2 linked regions of the Schizosaccharomyces pombe genome follow. The protein of the gene in region 2 binds, or shares a complex with, the protein of the main gene of each other region. Each region holds a gene or a part of one and is shown on either strand. Other genes may lie near its edges.

Region 1 (5,234 bases), 3.7 Mb from region 2:
CTTCAATCCGTACAGTACAGAAAAATTCGAAAATTGATCATTGCAAGAATATTAATGAATACTACTTATATTACTTCTTTATAAAACATTATGTTATTTGCATGGTATGAGTTTTGGAACCTCATTGCATAAACTTCCCTCCTTAGTGCTTTACGAGTTCATTCGTTTTTCGTTATTTCCTACTCATGACTTGGAGTACCTACGCTCTCCCTTGACAAACAACCTAAGTTTGCAACCAAAACGTCTTGTGTAGCGCGTTTAGTTGCATTTACATTCGTTATTATCACAAATTATGAGAGAAGTAATTTCTGTTCATGTTGGACAAGCAGGTGTTCAAATCGGTAACGGTATGTTCAATATCCATCTTTTTGTATTGCTGTATACTCTAAATAGTTGGCAATCGATTTTTTCATAAAAAATTTAGCTAACATTTCTAGCATGCTGGGAGTTGTACTGTTTGGAGCATGGCATAGGACCCGACGGTTTTCCTACAGAAAACTCCGAAGTTCACAAAAACAATAGCTATTTAAATGATGGATTCGGTACATTTTTTTCTGAAACCGGGCAAGGAAAATTCGTACCTAGAAGTATCTATGTTGATCTTGAGCCTAACGTTATTGATCAAGTTCGTACTGGACCGTATAAAGATCTGTTTCATCCTGAACAGATGGTAACTGGTAAGGAAGATGCTTCTAACAATTACGCCCGTGGACATTATACTGTAGGAAAGGAAATGATTGATAGTGTATTAGAAAGGATACGTCGTATGGCTGACAATTGTTCTGGTCTCCAAGGTTTCCTTGTATTTCATTCTTTTGGTGGTGGTACCGGCTCGGGTTTGGGTGCTTTACTTCTGGAGCGCTTGAACATGGAATACGGAAAGAAATCTAACCTCCAATTTTCTGTTTATCCCGCCCCTCAAGTGAGCACATCCGTTGTTGAACCTTACAACTCTGTGCTCACTACCCATGCTACTCTCGATAACTCTGACTGTACCTTTATGGTTGATAATGAGGCTTGTTACGATATCTGTCGCCGAAATCTTGACATTGAGCGTCCAACCTATGAAAACCTCAACCGCCTTATTGCTCAAGTTGTCTCTTCTATCACCGCTTCTCTTCGATTTGCTGGTAGCTTAAATGTTGACTTAAATGAGTTTCAAACTAATCTTGTGCCATACCCTCGTATTCACTTTCCTTTAGTCACTTATTCTCCTATTGTCAGTGCAGCTAAAGCATTCCATGAATCCAACAGCGTACAAGAGATTACGAATCAGTGCTTTGAGCCTTATAATCAAATGGTAAAATGTGATCCACGAACTGGCCGCTATATGGCTACTTGTCTTTTGTATCGTGGTGATGTTATCCCACGTGATGTCCAGGCTGCCGTTACTAGCATTAAATCTCGTCGCACCATCCAATTTGTTGATTGGTGCCCTACTGGTTTCAAAATCGGTATTTGCTATGAGCCACCCCAACACGTTCCTGGTAGTGGAATCGCTAAGGTAAATCGTGCTGTTTGTATGCTTTCAAATACCACCTCGATTGCTGAAGCTTGGTCTCGTCTGGACCACAAGTTTGACCTTATGTACAGCAAGCGTGCTTTTGTTCATTGGTATGTCGGTGAAGGTATGGAAGAAGGTGAATTTTCAGAAGCCAGAGAAGATTTGGCTGCCTTAGAAAGGGATTACGAAGAGGTTGGTCAAGATTCTATGGATAACGAAATGTACGAAGCTGACGAAGAGTATTAATTTATCCAATAATCGCTTTTATACGTTATTTCATTCGTTTTATAACTTGAAGATATCTTGCATCTACCCTTGTCTCTTTAATCTTTGTTTATTCAGCCCTGTGGTCAAATAACTAAAGGGTGTCTGTCTTTCTTTGAGAGTTAAAATGTTCACCCAGCGGCAAGGAGATAAATTGCTCGTCCACTTATCTCACTGATTTTTTAACTTGAACATTCTTTTTCTTTACTAGTCAATTCTCATTTAGATATCAATCTAATCCACTCTATCTTTGCAAATAAACCACCAGTAAAATTTCAATTTCTCCTTTCTGTGGTATCTTTTTTTTTTAATTTTGCATGAAAAAGAGACACTATAAACTGTAAATTACATTGTGTATTGGCGCTTTTCTAGCTTTACAAAAAAAATGTTTTTAATCTCAACCTCTAAGCAATAAATCGGTTAATTGGTTAATAAATTACTTAACTTATATGACTCGATTGCTCGGAATTAGCCTAAAATCATTTAGAATACGAGCATGAGCCAAAACAGTCTACTGTAGAAGTTTCAAGGACGAGTAGAGAAAACACAATTTTTATTAAAATTAGAATGAAATTTATAAGGTGAAAGTAGAAAAAGGCGTTTTTTTAAAATCATAACAAGATTGTGATGAGATATAATTATCTAAATTGATTGCACCTTTCTTTCATACCAAAGAATTAGTCAATCTTTCCTCAATGACAGACCAATCTATGCAATCAAACCATGTGTCGATGTATCTTGAGCGATTTAAAAGACCGTAATCTTTATAATATGCATGATTCCATAAACAAAGGTTTAAAATGGGAACATGCGCATATTTTCGAGGTCTGGCACTATAATCTGGCACACTAGAAATAAGATGGGGATCATTTGATTGCCATCTAGTCCAAAGATACGGAGAACCTGCTTGAAAAGTTCTCAGTAAGTTTAATCTATTATAATCATCAATTACAATCCAAAGCCAACATGCTCCAAAACTATTTGAGGCAAGCTCATGAATTTTAGAAAGTAAATTTTCTTTAGAACCAAAGTTTTCATTGACTGCTTTATTGATAGCGGCATTAGCTTCATATTTTGAGTTTTTTTTGGCATCTGCAGCTCTTTTTCCGATCAAGCTTTGAAAAAAGAAATGATTGTTGTAAGCTTGACTTGCAAACTGGAATGTGGCTGCATGCTCAGGCAAAGCGGCTGTTTGAAAGATAATGTTAAACACAGATGAATCCTCAAGTTCTGTTCCCTTCACTCGATCATTTAATTCTTTTACTACTTGACGTTGATGCTGGTCCCAGGCAATGTCAAGAGCTTCAGGACTGAAAAGTGGTAGCAAATTTCTTTGTGAAAGATTAGGAACTGTGTGGTAATTGTAGCAATAGTTTACTCGATGCACATTGTCTGTAACTGAACTACATCGTTTCAGAAGGTGAGTTATCGGTGAAAGCGCAAGCCCTTTTCGTAGACCTGTGTTGAGCATAAGCAAATTATCTGAATATTAGGTATAACTTGCTGAAATACCTATATAAACCAACAACGAAGTATTTAAGGGAACTGGACGTGTTTGGGTATCGCAGCTCGCCTTGTGTCAAATACAAGTTAGCCACACCACCGCAATTATGAATACGTTTGGACGGTTTGCGTCGGATATCATTATGGGAGTTTAAATTTTTTTGGCTAAAGCTTTACTTGAGTACTTTGTAATTTAAAGCCAAAAATTAAAATGGATTTACCCGTCTATTATTTATATTGAGGTGACTTATCGTTCATGAACTTCAGTACAGAGCCCTATGGGTCTGTAAACTAAGTCATCATACTTTATATGAAAAAGGTTTATGTAAAATAAAAAATCTGTATATTATTAGATTTCAAGGAACGTATACCTACAAAATCATTAACAAAGATAATAAAAGAGCGGCGAGGACATTGGTAAATCCTCGATTTTGCTCTGGTGCCTTTGATGTTTGGGCTTCTTCAACGTTAATGGAGAGAGAACCTTCACTGTTATAATCTTCAGTAAGCTGAATTGGAGATGGGCACAATCCCATCTCATAAGCCGATTCCTCTGGGTACAAGATCATGGGTTCACCGTTGCGTACCATAAATACCTGTCGATTATCTTGTACTGGAACGGACTTGCAAGATAATACGTCCATCCACTTGTGCTCTTCTGCCGAAACAGTATAATGGAAATGAATGTAATATGAACCTAAGTTGTTGAGTACGGTTATTACTTTGCCACGTCGTAAAAGCAATATTCTTTTATCAACGATGCTAATATCCGACTGCATATTTAAGAAAGCTTCTCCGTCTTTGCTTTCAATCATAGCTTTGCGGAAACGATTGATTGTAGACGTGAACTTATAGTAAGGATTTCTTTTTGGGAAACCTTTCTCCCAAATTGCAGGTCGATTATAAGGAACCTCTTCACCGCGCATGGCAAGTTCTTGGCCGTTGTACATCATAGGAATACCATCTCCCATAAGAACAAAAGCAATTGCATTCTTTAAGGTGGCTGGATCACTAGAAATTGAAGCCATTCTAGGAAGGTCTTTGTTCTCAACGAAGTTTCCTAACAATAGGGGATTGACACACAAACCGCGCATGTCAGTCATTTTGTCGGCAAGATCAACAATTCCCTCTGGATTATTCATCAAAAATGCTTTTACAGCAGATTCTCTAACAGGGAAGTTACTCAACCCTTCCAAGTCGTTTTGCCAATCACAAACTTTTAAAGAGTCGGAAGATTTCAAGTCACCCATGCAAAACACTCCAGCAGCTTTGCAAAAATCTGGCCAGTACTTTCTATATTTGTCACCCATAGCATCGAAACGAATACCATCAATTTGGAAAGTTTCTACAAATGTTTGAATATAGTCCTCGAGAGCCCCTTTAGCACTAGGACGCTCATGAACTGAATGGTCTTCATGGCAAGAGCAGTGTTCCTCGTGCTTCCAAGGCTTGTGATCGGGCTTGGTTCCATTGTGGGGAACTGGACGAGGGAACTTACCGTGATGGCAGTGTTCCTCGTGCTTCCAGGGTTTATGGTCAGGCTTGGTTACATTGTGAGGAACTGGACGAAGGAACTTACCATGGTGGCAGTGTTCCTCGTGCTTCCAAGGTTTGTGGTCAGGCTTGGTTCCATTATGAGGAACTGGGCGAGAGAACTTATCATGATGGCATGAGCAGTGTTCCTCGTGCTTCCATGGCTTGTGATCGGGCTTGGTTCCATTGTGGGGAACTGGACGAGGGAACCTACCGTGATGGCAGTGTTCCTCGTGCTTCCAGGGTTTATGGTCAGGCTTGGTTCCATTGTGAGGAATTGGACGGGGAAACTTACCGTGATGGCAGTGTTCCTCGTGCTTCCAGGGTTTATGATCAGGCTTGGTTCCATTATGAGGAACTGGACGAGGGAACTTATCATGATGGCATGAGCAGTGTTCCTCGTGCTTCCAGGGTTTATGGTCAGGCTTGG
Region 2 (6,969 bases):
AAAGAAAACAATAGATCGAAGAAGAAGCCAATCGTAACGTTGTAGGTAACGTAGTCCAGAAAGAACCGTTTGGCTAAAGTGGAAACAATGCTCAATAGCAATTTCATATTCACCAGATTCTATGTCAGCAATAACTGAGTTGTAAAAGGATGCTTGTACCTCTGTATAGTTCCTCAAAGGAGAATATGGGCGAAAGAAAATACTAGTTTGATCCTTTGAGGCAGACTTTAAATTATATTGTTCACCAATTTCTAAAGCATTCATTAAGGCAACCTCAGCTTTGCGGCGAGAAGAGCAATCAAGATAATCCAAGGGTATTTGACCCACGGAATTCACAGGAAAATTTAAACCGACAAGGTAAGACATTAAAGCTGCAATATCTGCTTGTTGTATATCAATACGTTTTATCTCCGTCAAATTCCATGGCAAAGAATACTCGTCATGCCCATAATTCTTCTCATGAGTAGGACTTTGAATACCAGCACCCCAGGCAATGATGGGAGTACGTGTATTATCAAGGTTGCCATCACCATGACTTCCAAAGTCACTCATACCATGGTCTGCTGTAAAAACCCAGCTAGAGGCTCCGTCGTTATTGTAGTAGTTGTTCATCTTATCAACGAGTTCTTGAATTTTTCCATCTATATACTGTATGTTTTCGACATATTCAACTGAGTCAGGGTGTTTATTATGGCCAATTGTGTCAATGCCCAGTAAATGAAGGAAGAATACTATTTTATCCCGATGCAACATATCCCAAAGTTCCTTATCCTCTAAAGACTGAGCGAGAAGTTCATCTAGCCTATCAAAAACCCATTCGTCAAGAACAATTCCGTTGCTAGAGAAATCCTCCAATTCAGAAGAATACATGAATGTATCAACTCGAGATGGATCAGATGCACCTTCACTAAACATAGGCAAAATATCTTCGGATCCAAACGAATAAGTATGCCGACTCTGATTAAACACAGAATCGAAATTTACTGGATTTTTTTTCCAGCCTTTTGTGACGGCTGAAACATCTTCGTAAAAACCAGCTATTAGAGCAACATGTCCGGGGCGTGACTCGGTGGGAACACGAGTATGAGAAACACCGAAAGTACCGTTATTCTGAATAATTGATCTTAAAAATGGAGCGGCATATGTCTGCTCTTCTCCAATGACCTTTTCGGAATGTGGTTGTAATAGTTTATCAGGACGTAGTCCATCGCCTATAAGCATATTGGTTAGTAAAATAAGAAAAAGAAGGACAAGAAAAAAGTTGTACTATTTCTTGTTTTTTTTTCTAAATCCAAAACGAAAATATGACATTTTTTTCATTAAGCTCTATACACTAATTTCACTATTACAAATGTTTACTTACCAACAATTAGAAATAGGCGTTTAGCAGGAGCTTCGCCTGCAGAATACTGCTTCATGCCATGTATTAGAGGAGTTACGAAATAGATATCAAAAATGGATTTGAGAAAGACGACATGGAATAAAATCCCTAACAGCAAGAGGCGACCAAACATTGCGAAAATTTAAGCGTGAAACCACTACCACAATTGACTGGGAATACTAGGGGTTTTTGGCAAAAATTGGATAGATGCCAGGACGCTTCTTGGAAAAGAAGGATGCCCTAAACAAGGCAAGAAGTGTTTTGTTCTGGTGAAGTGCGTTTGAGTGTTGAGTCGTTACAAACATCAACAGAAGTCCCCTTTAATCTACCATTGGTTAAAATTCAGATGATCTACGCTCGATCTAATGAATAAGCGAACGCTAATGAATGTATACTGAGTTTTGTAATTAAGGATGCCGTGTTTGAATGCACTAATGAATAGTGGTAGCGCTCCATCGTATATTGTGAGCTATGGCCAATATGCGTAATTAGTTCTAGCTGGATGAAAGAGTAAATAATCAGAAATCTATTAAGGAAGTGATAAATTACTTTATGGTATGCAGTGCACAATAATGGGACTTATAGTCATCTGGTAATTAAGCAAAAAATGATTCTGTAAATGGATATTTTCGGTATTATTTTAATTTCCGTTGACAGAAATGTAAAATGGATGGTTATCATTTCATTGCTCAAATCCAAGATTAATGAAAATTCAGCGGTAAGCATATTTGGTTGTTACACGTTGAGAGTCGGTTTACTCATGACGATTATAATAAGATAAAGGGATACAACCATCAAATTGCTGCTACATGGCCAATAATAAAAAAATCATTTGCAATACGAAAGGAAACGAATTCATTTATTATAACATGCAGAAGTAATAACTTCCTGCGACCAGCATTAGTTTGAATAAATAGAGTAACAAACTCATCGATTTAACTAAGAAAATTGTTATAGGCTAGCAAAACAGAATAGTAATATTAGAGGGTAATGCAAACATTAAGCTCAATCTCGCAGTATTGTCAAACTGAAAAGATAAAAGAAGGTAGAGACAGTTATTAGACAATAAATCCTGTTAAGTAGAAAATCATAAGATAGGGGAGGGGTTAAGCAAAGATACCAGGAAAAATTTAGAAATGACAAAACAAAAAACGAATATTTCCCAAAAATGTCTAGCTCTTAAATCCGCGGAGAAGTAAAAAGCAATATATTATTTTACTTCAAAAGGGGGTTTTCGAGCATTCTCGTCTTAAATGAAAAGCTATGAGAACAACGATCTCCAAATACATTAATTTAATATGGATTTTCGTAACCAAGAAATAGAATGAAATGTTCGAAGAATCACTCAATAACCCCAACGACGCATGTTCTTTGCTAAGTTTACAAGTCGAACAATTCCAGCGCGGAACCTTGCCCTGTGTCTTTCTGAACGAACGCGGGATCGCTTTTCGGATGGTTTTTCATAAAATCTCTGTGAACGGAATAGCCTTGGCACATTATTCCTTTGACATATTCTATCAACTTGTCGAAATGCTCTTGTTAGACTATTTCCAACTGTCACACTTGCACCTAAATCTTTTGTTTCTGCTGCGGGTATCATAAAATGAAGCGAATCTTGGAACGCACCATGCTCCTCTAAATATCAATAAAGTATTAGCAGACAATAATCCAACAATCGAAAATCATATTCTTGAAAGACAATAGCAACTTCAATGGATTTTCTTCGTACCTTTTCTCTTTTGCAATTTCCTATTTGTATGTACCCATCTGACCCCTAGAACACCTGGGAAATAAGAACTGTTCATTTTAAATAGTTATTTTGCGTTTTCTTGGCAATTTGAGAAGCCTGAATCTCACCGCAGTACAACTGCATAAAGAATTCGTTAAATTGCCTTGAACATCGATTTTTTGCATTAGCGTAAAAGACATAAAATTCATAAACTAAAAATAGGATAATCACATTTACACTTCACTATATACCTTTACATGATACACATGAATCTGTTTTCCTCCAACAACTATGCAGCGGCAGAATACGCGTAAGTAATTTCAATTTCATTGCTAAAGAATTTATCTAATTTTATTTAGAGGCTGCCGGTATGCCAATGATGCCACAGGTTCCTATGGTTGGCAACGGCGTTCCATATGTCGTCCCAATCCAACCTGTATTCGCCCCTTTACCTCCTGATTACAGGAGCTTATACAAAAAATTGTATGGCCAAGGCGCTTTTTTGGTAGATAATCCTGTTGAGGCAAGTAGTCCCTATGATTTTTCGCAGCCAATTCTGAAGTTTGGTAAACTTCCCATAAAACAAGTTTTAAGAGATAATGAATCGCAACAAAAAGATAGAAAAAACTTACCCCGAAATCAAAAAAGTAATGAGATTCAGGAGAAACAGACGTTTCAAACACCTTCTTCAGAGAAGTCTACAACAGAAAGGGAATCGCGGCCGTTTGTCCCTCCAAATAGTCAACAAATGCGGCGGATGCTCTTTATTGGTAATATACCGAAAGAATTGGATGATTTTTGGATGGATAAAATTCTTCGATTGTCCGGGAAGCTGGCTTCTTGGCGAAGGGTTGCTGATGCAGATAACTCGATGACTTCGTTTGGATTTGCAGAGTTTGAATCAAATGAACAATTCAGTAGAGCATTAGAAGCATTAAATGATTTTGTTGTTCCACCTTTGTACGAAGGTGGTCCTTCAACTCGCTTGTCATTGATTACAGATGTTGAGAATGAGGGATTGTATCGTGAATGGCAAACGAGTCGTTATGCAAGAAATAAGCAGAAAGAGATAAACATTTTACAGCAAATTCGCTTTAACCTCGAAAGAATTTGTCAAGATATAGGCAATTTTGATGTCCGTTCTCGCATTGAAAGGGCAGCTCGACAGGCCCGAGAGAAAAACGAAAAATTACTACAAAATGTCAAAACTTCGGAAATTCCCATTAATGCTGCTGATTTAGAAGGAATTAATCCTGAATTATTACCGGTTATTGAAGAAGAAATACGATCCTTTCGCGATCAATCTGCTATGAAAAAACGAGAAAAACAAAGGTCTAAGGACGAGTATGCCAGTTTATATAAAGAGTATACACGAAAAGAACAAGAAAAGCTTCGAAAGCAAAATGATGATTTACAAAACCTTTTGTCAAAACATCGTATTTCACGTATCCCTATGTCTACAGTCAATGCCTTTTTAAGAGCAGAAGATAGCATTCCCGAGTCGTTCTCCGATGAACAAGCTTATTATGAAGAGAAGAGAAGGAAGGATCAATTGGAGGCTGAAGAGTATTACGCAAGGGAACGGCGCTGGATGAATCGTGAAAAGGCCCGAACTGCAGCTTTAGAACGAGAAGCTGCTCGTGAAGAAGAAGAACGTGTTAATAACACTTCCTTTGGTACTTATCTTTCGGAAAAATTAGCTTCTTTTGATGACGATGAGGAAGCTCGCGTATCTCGAGACGAATATTTTGTCGATCGTGCTGCTTGGATTAGACATCGTGCAGTTGCTCGTGCTCGAGAAGAAGACGCAGATGCTCTTGACAGAAAGGAGGAAGAAAGAGAACTACGTACCCGTGGAGAAGGTGCAACCGTTGAGACAGAGAATTATGTCGAAAATGGTAAGCTGGTGACTAGTGAAATGCCTCAACATGAAAATGGTCCCTTCAAAATCAAAATACAAACCAAGAAACCAGCTGTTCCTTCTGAAAGACGAGAATTTGGACTTCCGGAGAGACTGCTTTTGGAAGAAGAAGACGAAGAACCGCAAGGCTATTCTCCCAACCCTCAAAAACCAAAGCCTGCTATGGAAGAAAATGATGCCGAGAAGACGAAAAGACTTCGTTCACTTATTGAAAAGATACCTGTTGAAGCAGAAAGTCTGTGGGCACTACCAATTGACTGGAGCAAGGTTACTGAGGTTTGTGATTTTTTCAACTTTTATATGTATCTAAACTAACACATTATAGGATCTTCTAAAAGAAGAAATGCAAGCTTTTGTTACCAAGAAAATTATCGAGTATATCGGTATTCAAGAGGATTCACTTATCACATTTACCATTGATCATATCAGGCAACATAAAGGTGCGGAACAGTTAGTGTCTGAATTGGACCTTGCTCTCGCTGAAGATGCTCCAGAGTTTGTTAGCAAAGTATACCGATACTTGCATGTACTACTGATTTTACGTTCTGAAGCATAACGTACATATTTGGGTAAAGTTTTTATTTAATGGTGACGATTAAAAGTTTGTAATATGTATTTATAAGAAATTTTTTTAAAAAAATAAAGGCAAACCTATGATGCCTTTTTTTTCGCAGTAGAATTGTTGTTTAGTATTTTGAGGCCGGCTTCTAGGGAGATTCCCAAAAAGACCAATAAAATACCAAGCCACTGAATCGAAGATACAGTGTGATGAAAATGAAAAACACTAAGAAGCATGGTGAAAATTTTTCTTGTAAGTGTAATGGTAACGAGCGTTATGCTTCCAAATTTTTCAAGGGTGAAGAAAATGAATAATTGACCGACAGAACCTGTGCAAGCAAACAACAACATGTCTTTAAGGATGCTTGGATGTCTGTTTATAAAAGACAAAGGCTGCTGGTTGCAAAAAGGAGAGATTAAATACAGGCCATTTAAACATGCGATACCCAAGTTGACCGCAATCATCATGGTAACGCTTGATAATTTGTATTTACCAAAAACCTTGTCTTGAGTAGTATTAGTAATTCCGTCCATGAGCAAATTAAAAAATAAAAGCAGTAAGCCAATAGGACTATCATGCTCAGCATGTTTACCTTTGGAAGAAGTGTTTTGAAAATAACTAAAGATACTTACACCTGCTGTAATCATTGTAACAATCAGGTATTTGTGAGGAGGAAACTTTCGTTTGTAAACGAACACATGTAAAGCAATAACTGGAAGTAACTTGCATGATTTTCCCAGAATAACAGTAGGATAAGACAAATGAAACATGCTTGCATATCCAAAGTAAGAACTTAAGCTAGCCGATATGGCAATACTAGAAAAGTATCCTAAAAACTTAGGCTCTAGCAAGCCTCTAGCAGAAACACCATGAAACCAGTTCCAAAGCAACCCACAAAGGACTGTCATGAAGGACTGTGCTAAGCTAAGTAATGCAGGAGAAGAAAACCTTTCACCATCGTAAGGTCTTGTTATAATTTTCTCCTGCATAACTGCCCAAGAAAGAAATGAACCATAAATCCCAATCATGCAAACAAATAATTGTCGCATAAAGCCAGCCATTCTAAAGAAATTGATGAACCAAAGGTAAAAGGAAAGTAACAGAATTAACCAAAGAATGTAACTTTAACAAGGATAAAGCAAAAAGGGTCTTGAAAACTCGCTCAAGTGAAAGTGATAGTCGTAATACTTAAAACACGAAAATTAATACAGGAGTCTTTGTCTAATTTTCTCTAATAGGTTTACAACTTCAAGAATTAGGCAGCTCAGTTAGATCATCGTTTTCTTAGCTTTTGGTGTTGTGCCTTTTGGTTGAGTTTTCGAACACAAACACCCACACATAGCCAGACATTGGCAAGTACAAAGTGATTAATCAGAGAC

Evidence for each region. Proteins that work in one complex are often made in the same cells at the same time.
Region 1: mrp21 (region 2) and SPOM_SPBC16A3.14 share a complex: the UniProt entries of both Schizosaccharomyces pombe proteins name them as parts of the mitochondrial small ribosomal subunit.

What each region holds. Positions count from the first base shown.
Region 1 is NC_003423.3:4,268,699-4,273,932, forward strand, and holds SPOM_SPBC16A3.14 (mitochondrial ribosomal protein subunit S26), read right to left. Parts: upstream 3,335-5,234; 5' UTR 3,240-3,334; coding exon 2,433-3,239; 3' UTR 2,293-2,432; downstream 1-2,292. Other genes in the region: nda2 (tubulin alpha 1), read left to right, coding at 293-347, 438-1,750; meu7 (alpha-amylase 4), read right to left, coding at 3,643-5,234. UniProt on the Schizosaccharomyces pombe protein: Component of the mitochondrial ribosome (mitoribosome), a dedicated translation machinery responsible for the synthesis of mitochondrial genome-encoded proteins, including at least some of the essential transmembrane subunits of the mitochondrial respiratory chain.
Region 2 is NC_003423.3:614,953-621,921, forward strand, and holds mrp21 (mitochondrial 37S ribosomal protein bS21m), read right to left. Parts: upstream 3,222-6,969; 5' UTR 3,187-3,221; coding exon 3,111-3,186; intron 3,017-3,110; coding exon 2,727-3,016; 3' UTR 2,239-2,726; downstream 1-2,238. Other genes in the region: its8 (pig-N family GPI synthesis protein), read right to left, coding at 1-1,211, 1,364-1,514; U1 snRNP-associated protein Usp107, read left to right, coding at 3,402-3,420, 3,470-5,307, 5,357-5,587; ER uridine diphosphate-glucose transmembrane transporter Hut1, read right to left, coding at 5,683-6,651. UniProt on the Schizosaccharomyces pombe protein: Component of the mitochondrial ribosome (mitoribosome), a dedicated translation machinery responsible for the synthesis of mitochondrial genome-encoded proteins, including at least some of the essential transmembrane subunits of the mitochondrial respiratory chain.